4 linked regions of the Yarrowia lipolytica genome follow. The protein of the gene in region 2 interacts with the protein of the main gene of each other region in a pairwise test. Links are inferred from orthologs where the notes say so. Each region holds a gene or a part of one and is shown on either strand. Other genes may lie near its edges.

Region 1 (5,092 bases), on a different chromosome or scaffold from region 2:
CATCGGAGGTGGTTTAGAGAGCATGCACGTGACCGAAGAAGGGACGGGGTGTCCACATTACTGCCGAATCAGTAGGTCACGTGGTAATGCCTCCGTTTTTGTTGTTCCTCGCTGTCCGGGCGCGAGCGCTAGCTACCGGCTTAGTCACTATCAAATCATCGACCAAATAAATATAATATTTAACGTTTGACTAAGCGGGCCTCTGTCAAACGACAATTAAAATTCAGAGGGATTGGTGGGAGATAAGAATGCGGCGTGGGGCTTGAAGACAGAGGCAGACTTATGTAATCGGGGGATTGAGGAAATCGGTGCGTCGAGAGAACGGAGAACAATATTACTAAGATTTTTGGTGGTTTTTATTTGCAAATATGTGTTTATTTGTTTATTTATTTATTTGTTTATTTGTTTATTTATTTGTTTATTTTTTGTTTATTTGTTTATTTTTTTTTTATTATTCTCTCTTTAAAAATATAATATTATTACTTTAATATTTAGCTAGTCCAAACTGTATCTGCTCGTATAATTGACTCAGAAACGCAGTTGAAACGGAGTGGATAAGACGTGTCCGGACTAGTCTGAGTATTACAGGAATTAATGGTGCTGACTAAAGATGACTACTGCATATTGTGGTGGATCTGAAAATGGAAATGTTTGTGAATATCTCAAGGGGGAGTGCTTTTTTAAACCAAACAAGAGTTGTCCCATTGTGTTCAGGAAGAAGCAGAATGACTAAGCAAAATAAGCACTATTCTGATTAAGCAGAGAATGCATGGAGCGCTCTTTTCACCATTATGACTCTCATCTGTCTTTTTAATGGCCATGAGTGATATTGCAGTACTTGTACTTGTAACCATATCGGAGACATGATACCTGGCCATTAAAAGTACGGCTCGGACTTTTCATTAAACATCGTTACGCTATATAGTTACAGTACAGGTGAGTACAGGTTAGTCGAACTGTGTTAGTAAAGAGAGAAGGGAAGGTCATTGTGAGGTCATTGAGCATAGCGGAATGTGAAGATGTGGTAAGCAGTTCTGAACAGTCCTGCTCCTCAGACACTCAGATCATACATCTCCAACCACATTGCTGAAACTCAAACTGTCAGACTACCATCAACGAGTAACTCGAAAATGATAGTCCCACTGTCAGAGTTCTCACAATGATCAAATATCACTCGTGTTTTGAACTCTTGATCATTCGTTGCGCTCATGATCTGGTCATTTACAAGTAGCTCGCTACGCTCACTAGTTGATCTGTACTCACCGCAACCAAATAACTCTCTGCGATAAATCGCGCTCTGGCATTGAGCACCAGCTTCATCTCACTGATCTCCTTGTCGACCACCTCCATAAACTCAATGATAAAGTCCACCAGCTTGTGCTTGAGCATGGTCTCGGTGTGGAAGTTTGTGATGAGGAACGAAATGCTGTATCCAGGCACGGGTTTTCGTCGCAGAATGTAGAAAGACTCGGCTCGGCCGGTCAGGAACCGCGTGAACTGGTGCACGAGAATCCGTTCAATCTCGTCCGCCTGCTTGATTCGAATCGACACTCGCACCGAGTTGATGGATGGCTCGATCAGCACCATTTCGTTTTCGTTTCGCGCAATGGTCATAGGGTTGAGCAGCGCCTCAGCTGACTTGCCGGACTCCACCTCGGGCACATTGTGTCGCTCTGCCACCTGCGAGCCAAAGTCTTCCAGACAGAGGGCTGCTGTGAGAGAGGTACGTACGGCAAGAAGGTAGGGTCGGAGGGATTGGGACTGGGTTAGCGCATGTCACAATAGATGCGTAGAGCGATTCAAAAAAAAAGTCGCTGAGTGAGGTGACCTGTTTCAAGGTGTCTTCAACGGAGTTTAGATGCGAACTATGACACTCGATGTAGGATCCCAACAATCATGTTACACCGGGAGAGGCGGAGAGCCGGGAGAGCTGCAAGGTGATGACTAGGTCCACCACAGGGGCCAACTTGGCAGATGAACACATCGACAGACACCGGCGCTGACGAGTTCAGAGATGTCGACGGTAGAAGTCAACAGGGTAGAACTCAACAGTGGCAGTCATAGTCTTTTAGGGTCACCGGACGTCATTAAGGGTGACTGGAGGAGTCATCGGAGTAGTCATCGGAGGAGTCATAGGAGGTATTGAAACAGTCACCACTGGGTCATTGAAGGAGTCATCATCTCTGACGACTCAGAGCCAGCCAACTATGAGCAAGTGACAGTAGAGCGATCAGAACGACGCTAGCGGACACACCTGAGTATCGCGCGCACTGGTAGAGTGCAGATCGGTGCAAGTGGTCGGTGGGGAAAGTGAGGGAGGGGGAGGAGGTGACCGTCAACGGCATAGTCAGGGTATCATCAGGAAGCGCTCTGTGTCGTAATTGCCGTAGCTGTCGTTGTCGTTGTCGTTGTCGCAATGGCGGTCGCAGTGTCATATCTCAAGACAGACACTCTAAGCACAGAAGCACCGTAGAGTCACTCGAAGTAGCCAGAACTCGTCATAGTCAACTGGAGCCCGCAAAAGGACATGTTGCTGGTATATGTAGTGAAAGACATGTTCAACGTAGTGGCCACTTGAACTCCACTGTCGACAGAACTAGACAATCATCAGAATGAACCAACAGCGATGACTGAACCACCACATCCCATCCGGCTCATTAACTATAGTCGACTCATTGACCCACTGAATTATGGCGCACAACACACTCAATCTCACCAACAAGATGGATCAAAACAACTCATCTGGAGCCATCAGTCAATCGGAACTCGCCACGTCATCAGAGACCCAACAGACACAGATCCGCTCGCCACAAAATGACATAAATGCGCTCATCAAAAACCCCCGTAGCTCGGCAAAGGACATAGAACCCATGAGCCTCTGGTCCCTCCTCAAATCCCCCGGCTCCATCCCCTCAAATCCCCCGGCTCCATACCCTAAACAATCAATGACCCTAACACTCATTTTGTCGTATTTTGCGCATCGAAAATCGCCCTTTTCGCCCCCTTTCGCTATACTCACCATCTCGGTCGGGTCGGTTGCGCTATTAGTCGTGCGTATGTAGAGGTACCGTATGCATCTCCAGAGTATTATTAGGTGGTGATTGGGAACCCTAACCCTGGATTTTGGGGTGGCATTTTCGAGGAATATTTGGGAGCGGAGTCGGTGTGAGTAAGGAATATTACAGGAAATAAATCCGTTTTAAAAATTCAATTAGATAAAAAAAGGAGTATATTGAGGTATATCTTGATGGATATTTGAGATATATTGAAATGGAGAGAATTAATGGATTCCCCCCTTCATGGGCTTTCATACCAAGATGATGACACATTTGTTTTTTTTTGTCAATTTTTTTGAGGTCTTAATACCATCTATCGTCTCACAGTTTTGTTTTTTTGAAAAAAAAATATCTATATATATTTATAAATAGCATTTTTAATCTATATATTTTTAGTTTTCAATGGAATAATTTAGTTGGGGATTTAATCCGTAATTTTTTTATTTTTTTTAATTTAGTTGACTTAGATGGGTAAACAGAGAACCTTCCAGATGCTGGAGTTTTGGTTGAGAACATTGGTAGAGTGACTACTTATGTTATCACGTGACATATTTTGATTATTTTCTCTTTTCTTTATATAAACGAATTTTGATTTTAATTCAATTATTTTTCAATTTCCTTTTAATTTAATTTTAATTCAATTTTAATTCAACCAAACAATTTTTTATCCATTTTTCAATTCTTCTTCTTCATTCCTCCAACTACTTACAATTTTCTTTATCATTTTCCATTTATCAACTAATTGGTTTTCTCATTAAAGTTCAACTCTATCTACTCACCCTCCTAATATCCAACATCACCCAGCTCCATCACCACAAAATGACCTGGCAAGAACACAAGGCGGAGGACGGACGAACGTACTACTTCGACCCGGAAACGCAAAACTCGACGTGGGACAAGCCCGAGGAGCTCTTCACGGAGCGCGAAATCGCCCTCAAACGCACAAACTGGAAGGAATACACCGCCGAGGGAGGCCGCAAATACTGGTTCAACACCGAGTCCAAGGAAAGTGTGTGGGTGTTTCCCGCAGATGCCGAAGCGATTCTTCAGGGAGAAGCGGCGGCCGATGAGTCGATTCCCAAAGAACCCCGAGAGGTGCGAGAACAGCGTGGTCGAGAAAAACGAGAGGAACATTTACCGTCTCTGAGCTCGATTGCGCCGGATAATGTGCAGCAGCAGTTCAAGGGAGGCAGTTCCGAGGAGATTGAGGCGTCTTACAAACAGCTGATGGCCGACAAGGAGGTCGACAGTAGCTGGACGGTTCAGAAGCTGATGAAAGAGTGTCTTGAAGACCCCCGATACTGGGCTGTGCGAGACGCTCTGAGACGGCGGGAACTGTTTGAGGAGTTTCTGACCGAGATTGAGCAGAAGGAGGTCCAGGAGACGTTGGATAAACGCCTGGAGTACCAGCAGAGAGTCTATGATTTGTTTGAACAGTCCAACAAGATTGGGCCGTATTCTCGCTGGATCAGCGTGGAAGAAGAGTTCCGCGACGACCCACTGTTCCACACAGGTCACGTGGACGACCGTAAACTGGCGCTCGCAAAATATGTCCGTTTTTTGAACGAACAGGAGCAGAAAAAAACCGCCGAGATCAAGGCCGCCGGAAAACAATTTCTCAAGTCCGTGCTGCAAATCGACATTGTCAAATCTACCTGGAACGATACCCTGAGAGATATCAAGTCGAGATCGGCGGAACTTGCTGCCGAGAGGCCGGAAATGCGACTGCTCAACAAGATGGACTTGCTGGACGTCTATTCAAAGACAATCGAAGAGAAGGAAGCCGAGTTGGTGGAACAGATTGAACAGAAATCCGCCGTCGCTGCCAGACAGGCCAGAATAGCCCGCCAACAGTTTGTCAAACTGCTCTCCGAACAGGTCGACAAGGGCCATATCGTCTACACCACCAAATGGAAGGAGCTGGTGGACTACATCAAGGACGATGTGCGATTCCAGAACCTGTGTGGAATCAGACACTCATCCACACCGCTGGACCTCTTCTGGGACGTGATTGAGGTCGAAAACAGACGGGTCCG
Region 2 (3,735 bases):
ACGTCGTGAGCTGTGTATGTGATGGTTTTCGGGATGCGGTGATTCTGTAAATAATGGGATGTAGAGGAGGTTCCAGTGAGGGACTTACTGGAAGCAGAGTCGTAAAAAGGTGCTATTATTGAGTAGTTGCACAGTTGAAGTCGCTTATCCTGTGACAATGTCATGTTCCGGATTATTCTCCCGAACACTTGCTATCTGGGATCATGAACGTGGTTATCCTGGTCAGGACGGGAAAATGGCCTGCTCATCTACAAAGTCATCGAGCCTGGTCATATTGATTTAAAATACACGTAACAATCAAACTCTTCAGAGTGGTTACCGTACCAGTACCCACGCCAATCTATCTCGATAATGCCTTCCATACACCTTCACTACAGTCAGTTGTTATTCATATCATATTCATTACAATGGTACATGGAGACATACCGATGCATAGCTAGTTCCGACCGTTAGATGAAGAGAAGTCAATCAGCAGCACGCTACGTCAAGTTACTGGCCACCTAGTTGGGATGCTTGAAGGTTCTTCCACTGGCGGTCTTCTTCTCCTTGACCACATTCTCCTGCTTTGCTCGGTTCAGCACCTTGAGGAACTCGCTCACTCGGAATCGCATTCGCGAGTGCATATAGGCCTTGGAACACTTGATATGGTAGTGGAAGTAGTCTCGGAAGATTTGGATGTGCGAGATACAGTTCTCTCGTCGAGAGGCCACAAGATGTCGGGGGAAAAGCACAAAGGTGACGTATCCCATGTTGTCGGCGTTAGAAGAGGGCTTGACAACGTCTCTGATCTCCAGCGGCGGCTCCTTTTGCGTGTACAGCACCTGGGGGGCGTTTTGGATGGCTCTTCGTCGAGCGTCAACGAATTCCTGCAGGAACACCTTTCCAAAGATTCGGTCAGTCTCGTCCTTGAAGATGGTGGAGAAGATGACGGTGACTCGGTCGTAGCTCGGTCGCACGTAGATGGACTCCTCGTCTCGGTAGTGGATCGCCATGACCTCGTTATCGGACTTTTGGGGGGCGTACAGGTCCTTGCCCTCGGCAGCAGCCTCCTCGGCCAGCTGGTCGAACTTGTCAAAGGCCTTTTCGAATGGAGCAGCAAACGTGTTTCTCTTGAGCAGTGCAATCTTGTTGACAAGCTCGTCTCGCTGCTCGGGGTCCGAGGGGATGGAGCCGTCTGTGAGGTTGAGCAGCAGCGAAACGTCGTATCCAGGCTCGGGCTCGGTCAGGTAGGGGCCATACTCCCGCTCCAGAATCTTCTTGGCGCCGCACTTGACCAGATCCTGGAAACACTTGATGTACATGGACACCATGATGACCGTCTTGTCCTTGGGGTCCGGGTTGGAGATGTGGAAGGTGACATTGTCGAAGTCCGACACCACCTGATCGATGCCCAATGGCGGGGTTTCGGGGTCCAGACGCTCGCTGAGCACCGATTGCAGCAGCAGGTTTTGGTACTGGAGCATAAGCATGTTGGCGGGTCTTGTGGAGTGCTGTGTGGGAGTGCTGGGTCTCGCAGTGGGTGTATAGTCAACGTGGAGATGTGTGCTGTACCACTGCGTTAATATCGTTGGTTAGTCAGAACTCTAATGGGAAGCTGGGGACGAACCGCGCGAAAACTGGTGGCACCAAGAGCAGATTATATACGGAGAAAATGACAATTATATTCCTCGAGCTTGTGATTGATCACGTGTCACCCAAAATCTTCCCCCAGTGTTATTATTTGCCGCAGTTGCAGACTCGCTAGATGACCTTCACACCACTGTTTATGCACTCACTCGGAGATAAGCCCTCTGGGTTGCGGATGTAGGAGTTGATACTTGTGCGAGTACTGTGCAAGTACGAGTAATTGTAGCCGGAGTAGTCAATTACAGCGGTGAAGGTAATTGGTGACATATGCTGGAGACGCCGATGGATAGATGGGGTCCCAATTGGACACGGAGGTGAAACCCCGACCTTGATAATCCATTGTTAGGAACAGTTTACTTGGGAGTATGCTTGACATTTTACTTGAACTCTATCACGAGTGACACGGGAACATGTATAATGGGATGTCTCACATCACTGATATTCCCCCTATATTGAAGTATTCCACTCTGTCAAAGTATTCCACCCTATATCGAAGTCTTTCACGGCTGGAGCACCTTTACGATGCTTCACTACAGTATGACCCGTGCTGTTCTTCACAGTCTCTAGCCAGACCTTCGTACACTGTACTCGCACTGAACGCGAACAAGTCTCTATCCATTCAGTACAGTACCTCCCAGTTCATCTGTCTCAGAGACTAACCATCTAAAGTGTTACGTTCCTCTTAGCTCTGATTCTAATCAGATCATGGTTCTGAGCTTGGACTCGGAGGACTACGAACATGATCCCAGACGTTTTAACCTGAAAACACGGACATAGAATGCCCAATTGGGGGACCAGATTCAATTGTTTCACTCCGTCATTGCTCTGGTTTCACAATATCACTCCGGTTTGCAGTACATACTAGTGCAGTATGTAGCAAGTACAGTTCACAGTTCGTACAAGACCACTTACAGACACCTCCAATTGCACCATGGATCCGATTTAAATGTAGTTTTTTTGCCACTGGCTCTGCAAGTTCATTCAATAGAACAATTTTTATTCATTTGACTCAATATCATGACAATAACCACTTTTTTTATTATTCTAATGATGCATTACAGCATGTTATTACCATACCAAAATTCAACGTAAAGATGCAACTTCGACACCAAAATTATTAACTTAATATCGGTTCTACTCGAGTAAAAAGCTACTAGGGGATACTTTTGGTCTTTGAGAATAAATATCCGATGTTATTTACTTTGTACAATGTCGATAAGGGCGTCAAAATCAAAGAAAAATTCAAAATCACTTTTTTAGTCTCTTGACCGTATTTTTTCACGTGATTTTAAGATTTTCGGCCGTGTGGTCTAGTAGCTATGATTCTCGCTTTGGGTGTGAGAGGTCCAGGGTTCAAATCCCTGCTCGGCCCCTTTTTTAGATGCCCTCGAAAATCAGTCCTAATTGTTTTTTTTTTTTTATTTTTTTATCTGTCATCCCCTCCACCTTGCTTTTACGCCTTGCAACAATTTATCCAGTCCCTTAAATCACGTGTACATACTGTACTTGTCTGTTTCAACACCCTGTCTGGCAGGACATGAGATGTTGGACGGACTCTCCTGTGGGGCTCTACTTGTAGGTTTAGCAGTCAGTTATAGTCGATCTAAGGGCAGATTCTGGGAGCAATACGGGGCAGTGGAACCTATTTAGTCGACCGGATGGTGGGATTCGAAAGCTTTTATCGAGCTTTGAACGGGCAGTAGAATGGCATCTGTTGCACTAATGGCGAACGGCGCAACGCTCGGAAGGTCAAGAACTTGTAGTTTCCAAGTACGAATACCATAAGCAACCGACCATGCACCTCACCGTCCCCTCTTCATTCAACAACAGATGGCCAGTTCAAAGTCGATTAATGTTCAAAACCCCCATCTGTATGTTCCATCTGTTGCAGATGTGTGGGGTAGGATTGAAGTTAGTCGCCGACAGGGTTCTCGTTAAGGCGAGGGGAATAGTCGATAAAAGAGGTATTGAGAGCAAAAGAGGAAGAAAAACTAGACAAGTGATCATACAGATCCCTTATCAAAGCCGATCTGAACGGGTTTCCCCCTTCCTTTCTCCTACTGTAACGCTTCTTGGGTGGTACAGGAGAACCTCTCGTGAGACAAAGAA
Region 3 (3,391 bases), on a different chromosome or scaffold from region 2:
CGGGTCCTCCTTCGGGTGCTCCCGGCGCGCCCGGCGCTCCCGGCACTCCCGGAGCTCCTCCAGGCATGTATCCTCCACGACAGCAGTCACCCCCAGGACCTTATCCACCTTATTGGCAGTAGAGAGGGGAGAGGAGGACACGAAGGACGGAAGGATAGCATGGATAAAGCGTGTTTATTTATATGTATTATATGAAGATTTAATTGAGTTGAGTGTAGGCGCTTGACAATGACTACTTGCAATTAGCACGGGTGCCTATGGCAACATCCCTACTGTATGTTGTAGTCTATCGCCACTTGTCATATTCAAAGTGTGAGAAAGATAAAACAAATAGACTGTATAGACTGGATCAATACAAGTACAAGCACACAGTACGAGTACGTAAAAGTACGAAAAAGTACGAGTACAATGTACATACTGATACACAGTGACAATACATTATTATACATACATACAGTTCATCCATACGACCAGCTCCTACAAAGTTACCTTATCATATCATTCATTAGTTACATTGTGTATCCAGGGCTTTAGTTTGTGCTCTGATGCACCTCTTCCTTCAGCTGTTTGGTGGAGATTCATCACCGGAGTTGCTTGTGTTTGTTCACCGCTCATACATTACCCGGCTGTGCCTAGTAATTCATTCGCTTACAAACTCTTGTTCATAAAATGCCTTCTGGTGAAAGCCAACCAGTACTTGTTGGGCTTGGAAGGGTCGTCCTTGTAGATCTTCTCAATCAGACGCTTTGCCAGCTCCTGTCTGAATTGCATCAGGTAGCCTCGCAGCAGTTCGACCTCATTTCGGTCTCGGGGAGGGGCGTAGAGAGAGTTCAGTGGGAAGCCGGCGTCTCCGGGAATGGAAAAGTGTTCCACAGCAGCAGTGTTCAGCAACTTGTTGGCCTCGTTGGCAGAAGTGGTAGGCTTGAGCTTTCCCAGACACTCGGACACAAAGAGAATGCCGTAAATGAGAGCCCGGTCGGCAGGGCCCTTGATCTCAAAGTTCTTAAAGAATGAGTTTGCTCGGAACAGATCCAGCACCTCGTCGATGATGTCGTAGTCGGCGTTGCTGGGGTAACTGGGGCCTCGGAATGACGTTTTGATGGGGAGGATAGCGAAATTGCCCACTACCCGGGTGTCCTGGTCCTCGCCGAGAAATGTACTGTTCAGAGCTGGCATTTTTGTGTCTGGTTGGATGTGTTAACGTTGGTGATGCGTTGGTAATGACAGGTTTGGGTGTGATGAGGTGGAGATAGCTGGTGAACTCTAATAATGGCGCAGTTAGAGGTGAAATTGCAAGGAATGGTGGGAGGTGAGATTTTGGTGACCGGAGGTAGGTGGATTGATGGAATGTCATAAGCCGATTCAATTGAGTGAATTGGAAATGTTTCGACCATGAATTCCGCTGATTACGAAGCGAACATTCGGAGGAAGGGGGTGCGGGTTGCTTCAGTAACATACTTGGATTTTACTTGGATGGCACTTGAGTTTGTTTTCTCAAATCACTCCCTCAGTTGATTGAACTTCAGATTTACTGTACCGTAGCTACTGTGTCAGATAAAGGTGTGACCGACTGTAGTGCCAGCCGGGTTGACTTGCGGGGAACCGGAGTTAAGAGAGTTCATTATCACACCCTGGTACAAGTACAAGTAGCCGATGTTCGTATTACAGTAGTAAGTGTCTCAATGTCAATACCGTAATGGCTATAATCGGGGAGGGGACGAGGATCATTCTGTAGGACACATGCCTACAATACAGTTGCACCTATCGTAGGTACAAGCAAGCTGTGTGGCAAGTGCGAGCGAACAGTTATTGAGTTAACAATTGAGTGGTTATCGTGCTTGAAGTTGAAAGGAATTGTTATCTACTTGTGGCTACACAAGGCACTATTTTCGGCTTCCAGCCACTCCCTTGCTCAACTGCTACAGGACCATCGGCTGACGGTCTTGAGTCTTCCGTGTTTATTGCTTTTTGGACTACTGTACCCCTGTGCTTATTAAGGACAAATGAGGTTAAGTGATGGACTGCATACGACGGACATAGTGAATATGACCGACAATGGTGGGTCAGAGAGGGGTACTTTTGGGTAGAAAGGTGACAGTAAAAGCCAGCAAATAGTTCATCACAGGCTATTATGACACACTGGAGGTGTTTGGACTTCTTCATCATCTCTCCAAAAAAGTATCTCGAGTACTCATACAAAGGTCTGCTCTTGTACAGTCTTCCCCAACCCTATTTTCTGACGTTTTCGGCAGTCCTATAAATGCCGAAAAAAAAGACAGATTTTCACGAGAAAAAAGACCACCGGTTCACCACATTGTAGCAAGTAATATAGACCGTACCGACCGGGTCAAGTTGCATGCGTCTCCCTCATAGCGCTCCATTTATTCCCCCCACACTAATACCGCAGGTGACTAAGCAACCTAAAGTTGGCACCACACAAACACAGCCTCGTGCGTCTTAGGGTACAGTACTACACTTTTTCAGAGCCCGCCAATCTCTACACCAGTTGTTGTTTGCACGACACAACGCCCCAAGAGACACACAACTAGTCACACTCGACCCAGGGCAGCTCAAATGGCGCAGGACGTGTTGGATATTCCTTTTACCGATATTCCGTCGATGCAGGTGAGTAGATGAGACATGAGGAGAAACCCTGATAGACACAGGCAATGGGTGATATGGACAGAAAGGAGACTGATGTGAACACAGAACCAGTGGCAAGCGAGACACAGACAGGCAGAAGAAGAGACCTAGAATTAGAAGCATCGACATGGCTCATATCCCAACAGTACAAGCGGTGTTCCTATCGTACCGCGCAGTTACACAGATGAGCGGATGGTTTAAGGGTGACGTGAAGGATATATTCAGATGAGATTGCTGTGGAATGTGCAGTAATTTCATTTGGTGAATGTTCACGACTGTACTGTTCCTATGGCGACATTTTAGCGACACTGTTTGACGTGGTTTGAGGGGAACCAAGGCGTACCAACGCATCGCACGACACATCACGACGTGGTGTAGAGCATACATGACGACACACTTAGGGCAAATCAAACCTACATCGACTCTAAGAATCGCCATATACAAATTATCACAGCCCATTCTTCTGCTCCACTAGCTACATCTCGTTGTCCGCCCTCGACTTTCGGACCCTCACACCTGTTGCTCCCGTATACTAACCAAGCGCATCCCCGCCTCGCGGTCCATGCAAAACCTCAACGAGCGGTATGAACAAGGCCAAGCCCCTCCCCAGGGCCAGACCAAACAGCCCCCCATGCAGCCCTCGCATCATGCCAATCCCCCACCCCAGCATCACCAGCAGCCACAGCAACACATGCCACCGCGACATTACCCGACCAACCGGCCACAGCCCGGACAGGCCCAGCAGCAG
Region 4 (3,972 bases), on a different chromosome or scaffold from region 2:
TGAGCATGTGCACCTATTTCACCATCATCACTCCCATCGGCATGGCTATTGGTCTCGGTGTCATGGACTCCATGAACTCCAACGACCCTGCCACCATTTGGGCCATTGGAACCATCTCGGCTCTGTCTGCTGGCGTGCTCATTTGGGCTGGAGTTGTGGAGATGTTGGCGTTCGACTGGCTGTTTGGAGATCTTTCTTTTGCACCCAAAAAGCGAGTCTTTTTCGCAATGTCGGGTCTGGTTGGAGGCATGATTTGTATGTCCCTCATCGGAAAGTGGGCCTAGTCCTTGCCAAAGGCGATATAATGATTAATGAATAGATAATACGATTTTATGAGTTGAGTAGAGAAGGATGGACAAGTGCGGAACTGAGAAATAGCTACGAGTGGTGGAGTATTGCGGTCCACTGAATAGTTGGAAGCAGCGTCATAACTCTGCATCCCATTTGGAATGAAGACGAGAGAAGTGACGATGTGATCTGTGAAGGTGAAGGGTCAGTTGATCACGCACAAATGATTAATTAGCAATTTGACATGGCATACAGTGCACTGACAATCAACAATATATCCACAGATAACAGTTAATACTTGCAAATGCCCATCTGACAGCCTACACTAATCGTACAATAAGACTCGCGGCAAGTTGGGCGCTCTGTAGCTCTGCTGCTACATCCACTGCACTCGCTGCTACACAGCTAGTACAGTTCGTCAATCGTTTCATCATATAACATACATAGTTCCTTCATCGACAGTGTTAGGTTGATACTGTCAATGCAGGGTTGTAGCTGGAGTTGCCGCTTATCTGGGACCAAGCTTGGCCAGGCATGCGGGGCCCTGCTCCTCCCACTCTTGTTTGGAGATCCACATGTGCTCCTTGTCATGCATAATGTTAGCAAGCACGGCACCTCCCAGGAAGACCATATGTCGTCGTCGAGGGGGGTCCTCAATTTTGACCTTGAAGTTGTTGAGTCGGGTGGGGTCGCCGTTAAGCACCCGGGTGAGCCACAGCTGCTTGAGCTCCTTCTCCATTCGGGATGGCAGACCGGGATACATGGACGAACCTCCAGACAACACAATGGCTTTGTACAGCGACGATCGCACATCAATGTCGGCGGCCTGGATAGTGTTGAACAGCGTCTCGGCGATTCCAGGCTGTTCCGAGTCGACCAGATGGGGCTGGAACAGACACTCGGGGGCCTCGAATCGCTCTGATCCCAGCTTGATGGTTCGGCCGTCAGGAAGTTCGTAGGTGTCGACCAGAGCAGTGGTTTCGTTGGCGAGCTTTGTGTCGAGGTCCAGGTCGTAGGAGACGTAGCAGAACTTCTCCTTGATCTGTCGCACGGTCTCGAAGTCGGCAGTTCGGTTGAAGGCGTATCCTCGTCGCAGTAGCAGAGCAATCAGCTGTCGGGTGACATCTCGACCAGCGACGTCCAGACGACGGGTCAGGTGGTTGAGCACCACAGACTCGTAGACAGGCACCACGTGGGTAACACCGTCTCCAGAGTCCACCACCACTCCTGACGACAGGCCCTGTGCGTACAGAGCCAGGACGGCCTGGATGGCTACATAAACGCCATTGAAGCCGTAGTGCTCAAACATGATCTCGCACATCTTTTCCCGGTTCTTGAGGGGGTTCATGGGAGGCTCTGTGAGCAGCACCTTTCGACCCCGGGTGTCAATCTTCATCTTGTCGTAAAACGAGTGGTTCCACAGGTGACCCATGTCTTCCCAGTTTCGAATCACTCCGTTCTCCATCGGGTACGAGATCTGCAGCATGTTTCGTGCCGCGGCAGCCTCGTCTCCACACATAATGTCCTTGATGGCCACGTCGCCGTATGTGTCTGTGGCCCGCTCTTCAGCCCGCAGAATGGGCCGACCCACCATCGACGGGAAGGTGTGTTCGGGGAAGTTGGTGCCTCCGTAGCCGATTTTCACAAAGCCGGTTCCTTGATCTAGCACAATTGGTTGTTCGCTCATATTCGCTCAGTGGTGTGGATGGAGGGTGGATGTCATGCACTGTCGAGAGCGCTGTATGCGGGAGTTTATTAGTCAGCCACCCTCGACGAGCCTGCAAAAAACCGTTGTTTTGTAGGCTGACATGGCCAGATGGATGTGACAATGCGACCAGTACACCCCAAATAGCTCAATTGGGTCTCTCTCTTACTAATTGCGTCTCAAACACGCCCTTCTATACACTTTCTTATCTCAACACCGAGCTCCAGCTCACCTCCCATCCCACCTCCGAATTGCTATCTCCATCTAGCCAGCCTGGACAACTTTATTTCCAGGCCGCGAAATGTCGGAGATGTTCAAATAGAGTAAAAAAGGGCAGAAAAACAGCTGAAAAAGGGTAAAAAAGAGCAGAAAAAGAAGCAGAAAAAGAGAAAAAAAAAAGAAGCATAAAAAATAATAAAAAATAATAAAAAAATAATAAAAAATAATAAAAAATAATAAAAAAAATAATAATAATAATAAAATAATAATAATAAATAATATAAATAATAATAAAAATAATAAAAATAAAAAAAAAAATAAAAAACAAAAAAAAAAAATAGTAATAGCTACGGCCCCCAGTCGGGGAACGCGGATACTGTACGCTTAAGGGTTGTGCTAATAAAACAATCTCCTCTTCACCCCACCATCCATATACAATGTACTCATACTAATACTCTTACATCCAGTACATACTGTTCACTCATGGTTGTAGCTTGTTGCAGTGCTACATCAACACTTATCTGAAACAAAACGACCAAAATACTTTGGTTGATCGCTTGATATTTATTATTACTAATGGAAAAATATTACTAATAGAAAAATGCCAAGAATTGCTCACGTTTTCTTTTAGTACCTGGCACGTAATAATCAATCAATAGTCAGACCTTGTTGAAAACATCACTTCCAAGACTCCGTATCTCCGAACTATAGAGGTGAGACAGTCATAGGCGTAATCAACCATCAAGTACATAACTAAACTTACAACAACCAGTGTGATGTACACACCTGCCCTCCACCAAAGCCATGTTATCATGCAATCATAATTCGTTATATAAATAGCTATATGCATATTTTTCAAGATGCTTTTCGTCCCCTCATTGTATATCGCCTACCGTGTCTCTGAGAAGTCTAAGGATTGTGCCGGCGCTGGTAGAACAACACATACGCATTCTTGTTAACAACGGCTCGCTCGTTCACGTTTCTGTTCACCACCGTATCGTCAAAGTAGCACCATCCGAGCTTGCCACGCTTGCAGAACGACGTGTAATGACCCCCGCGCAGCGTTCCGTAATGGTTGGCCACTCCAAACAGTGAGTACCGGAAAGGAGCCGTCTGGCCACGAGGAAGCAGCTTCTTCAAGAAGGGCTCGTCCTCCGATGTGGGCGGAGGCCAATACCGCGTGAGATCCATCTCCAGAGGGTACGTAACAAACGTGTTGAGCTTGTCTCCATAGCCCCGTGAGTGGTCGAACCGCTTGAGATGGATGATCAAAGTTTCTGGAAGCCGCGAGATCTTCATAGACTTGATAGTGGGCCGCGGCTTCTTGCACGTAGGGCACTGCCACATGTTTTCGCCCTCCAGCAACTCCGGCTGCGTAAACTGGTTGAAGCAGTCGTACAGCGTTGGGAGAGTGGCCCCAGCGTACTTGGGGATGGGCAGAGTTAGCGACGAGAATGCAGTGTATGTCGTCGACGTCATTTTGCACACAGTACACTGGAGCTTTGATTGGTACTGGCCCTGAAATTCGTCGACAATAAACGAAGACGCGGACTTGAGGTACCGCTCCCACTCCAGAGATGACACAATTCGAACACTCATCTCCTCTCGTCGCTTCTCCTCGCTCTCGGTCAGCTCACGGGGCTTGTATTGACCATCGCCCACAGAGTTGAGCTCCTCATGCAGGCCATCAAGAATGAAAGTCAAAAATTCCTGACAGTCATGCTGCTCCATGCCGCTGAACTGAGAGTTGACATGTGCAA

Evidence for each region.
Region 1: the proteins of YALI1_A03422g (region 2) and YALI1_D03575g interact in binary tests that used the Saccharomyces cerevisiae proteins (3 or more experiments, as listed by UniProt). The link is inferred for Yarrowia lipolytica from reciprocal best matches to the Saccharomyces cerevisiae genes ARC35 and ARC19.
Region 3: the proteins of YALI1_A03422g (region 2) and YALI1_B26451g interact in binary tests that used the Saccharomyces cerevisiae proteins (3 or more experiments, as listed by UniProt). The link is inferred for Yarrowia lipolytica from reciprocal best matches to the Saccharomyces cerevisiae genes ARC35 and ARC18.
Region 4: the proteins of YALI1_A03422g (region 2) and YALI1_F20712g interact in binary tests that used the Saccharomyces cerevisiae proteins (3 or more experiments, as listed by UniProt). The link is inferred for Yarrowia lipolytica from reciprocal best matches to the Saccharomyces cerevisiae genes ARC35 and ARP2.

The regions. Positions count from the first base shown.
Region 1 is NC_090773.1:356,611-361,702, forward strand, and holds YALI1_D03575g (uncharacterized protein), read right to left. Parts: upstream 3,023-5,092; coding exon 3,021-3,022; intron 1,763-3,020; coding exon 1,265-1,762; intron 958-1,264; coding exon 948-957; downstream 1-947. Other genes in the region: YALI1_D03604g (uncharacterized protein), read left to right, coding at 3,876-5,092. UniProt on the Saccharomyces cerevisiae protein: Functions as actin-binding component of the Arp2/3 complex which is involved in regulation of actin polymerization and together with an activating nucleation-promoting factor (NPF) mediates the formation of branched actin networks.
Region 2 is NC_090770.1:340,791-344,525, forward strand, and holds YALI1_A03422g (uncharacterized protein), read right to left. Parts: upstream 1,470-3,735; coding exon 501-1,469; downstream 1-500. Other genes in the region: YALI1_A03442g (uncharacterized protein), read left to right, coding at 3,422-3,735.
Region 3 is NC_090771.1:2,642,862-2,646,252, reverse strand, and holds YALI1_B26451g (uncharacterized protein), read right to left. Parts: upstream 1,177-3,391; coding exon 649-1,176; downstream 1-648. Other genes in the region: YALI1_B26517g (uncharacterized protein), read left to right, coding at 1-122; YALI1_B26430g (uncharacterized protein), read left to right, coding at 2,575-2,625, 3,185-3,391. UniProt on the Saccharomyces cerevisiae protein: Functions as a component of the Arp2/3 complex which is involved in regulation of actin polymerization and together with an activating nucleation-promoting factor (NPF) mediates the formation of branched actin networks.
Region 4 is NC_090775.1:2,069,244-2,073,215, reverse strand, and holds YALI1_F20712g (uncharacterized protein), read right to left. Parts: upstream 1,976-3,972; coding exon 797-1,975; downstream 1-796. Other genes in the region: YALI1_F20742g (uncharacterized protein), read left to right, coding at 1-284; YALI1_F20669g (uncharacterized protein), read right to left, coding at 3,122-3,972. UniProt on the Saccharomyces cerevisiae protein: Functions as ATP-binding component of the Arp2/3 complex which is involved in regulation of actin polymerization and together with an activating nucleation-promoting factor (NPF) mediates the formation of branched actin networks.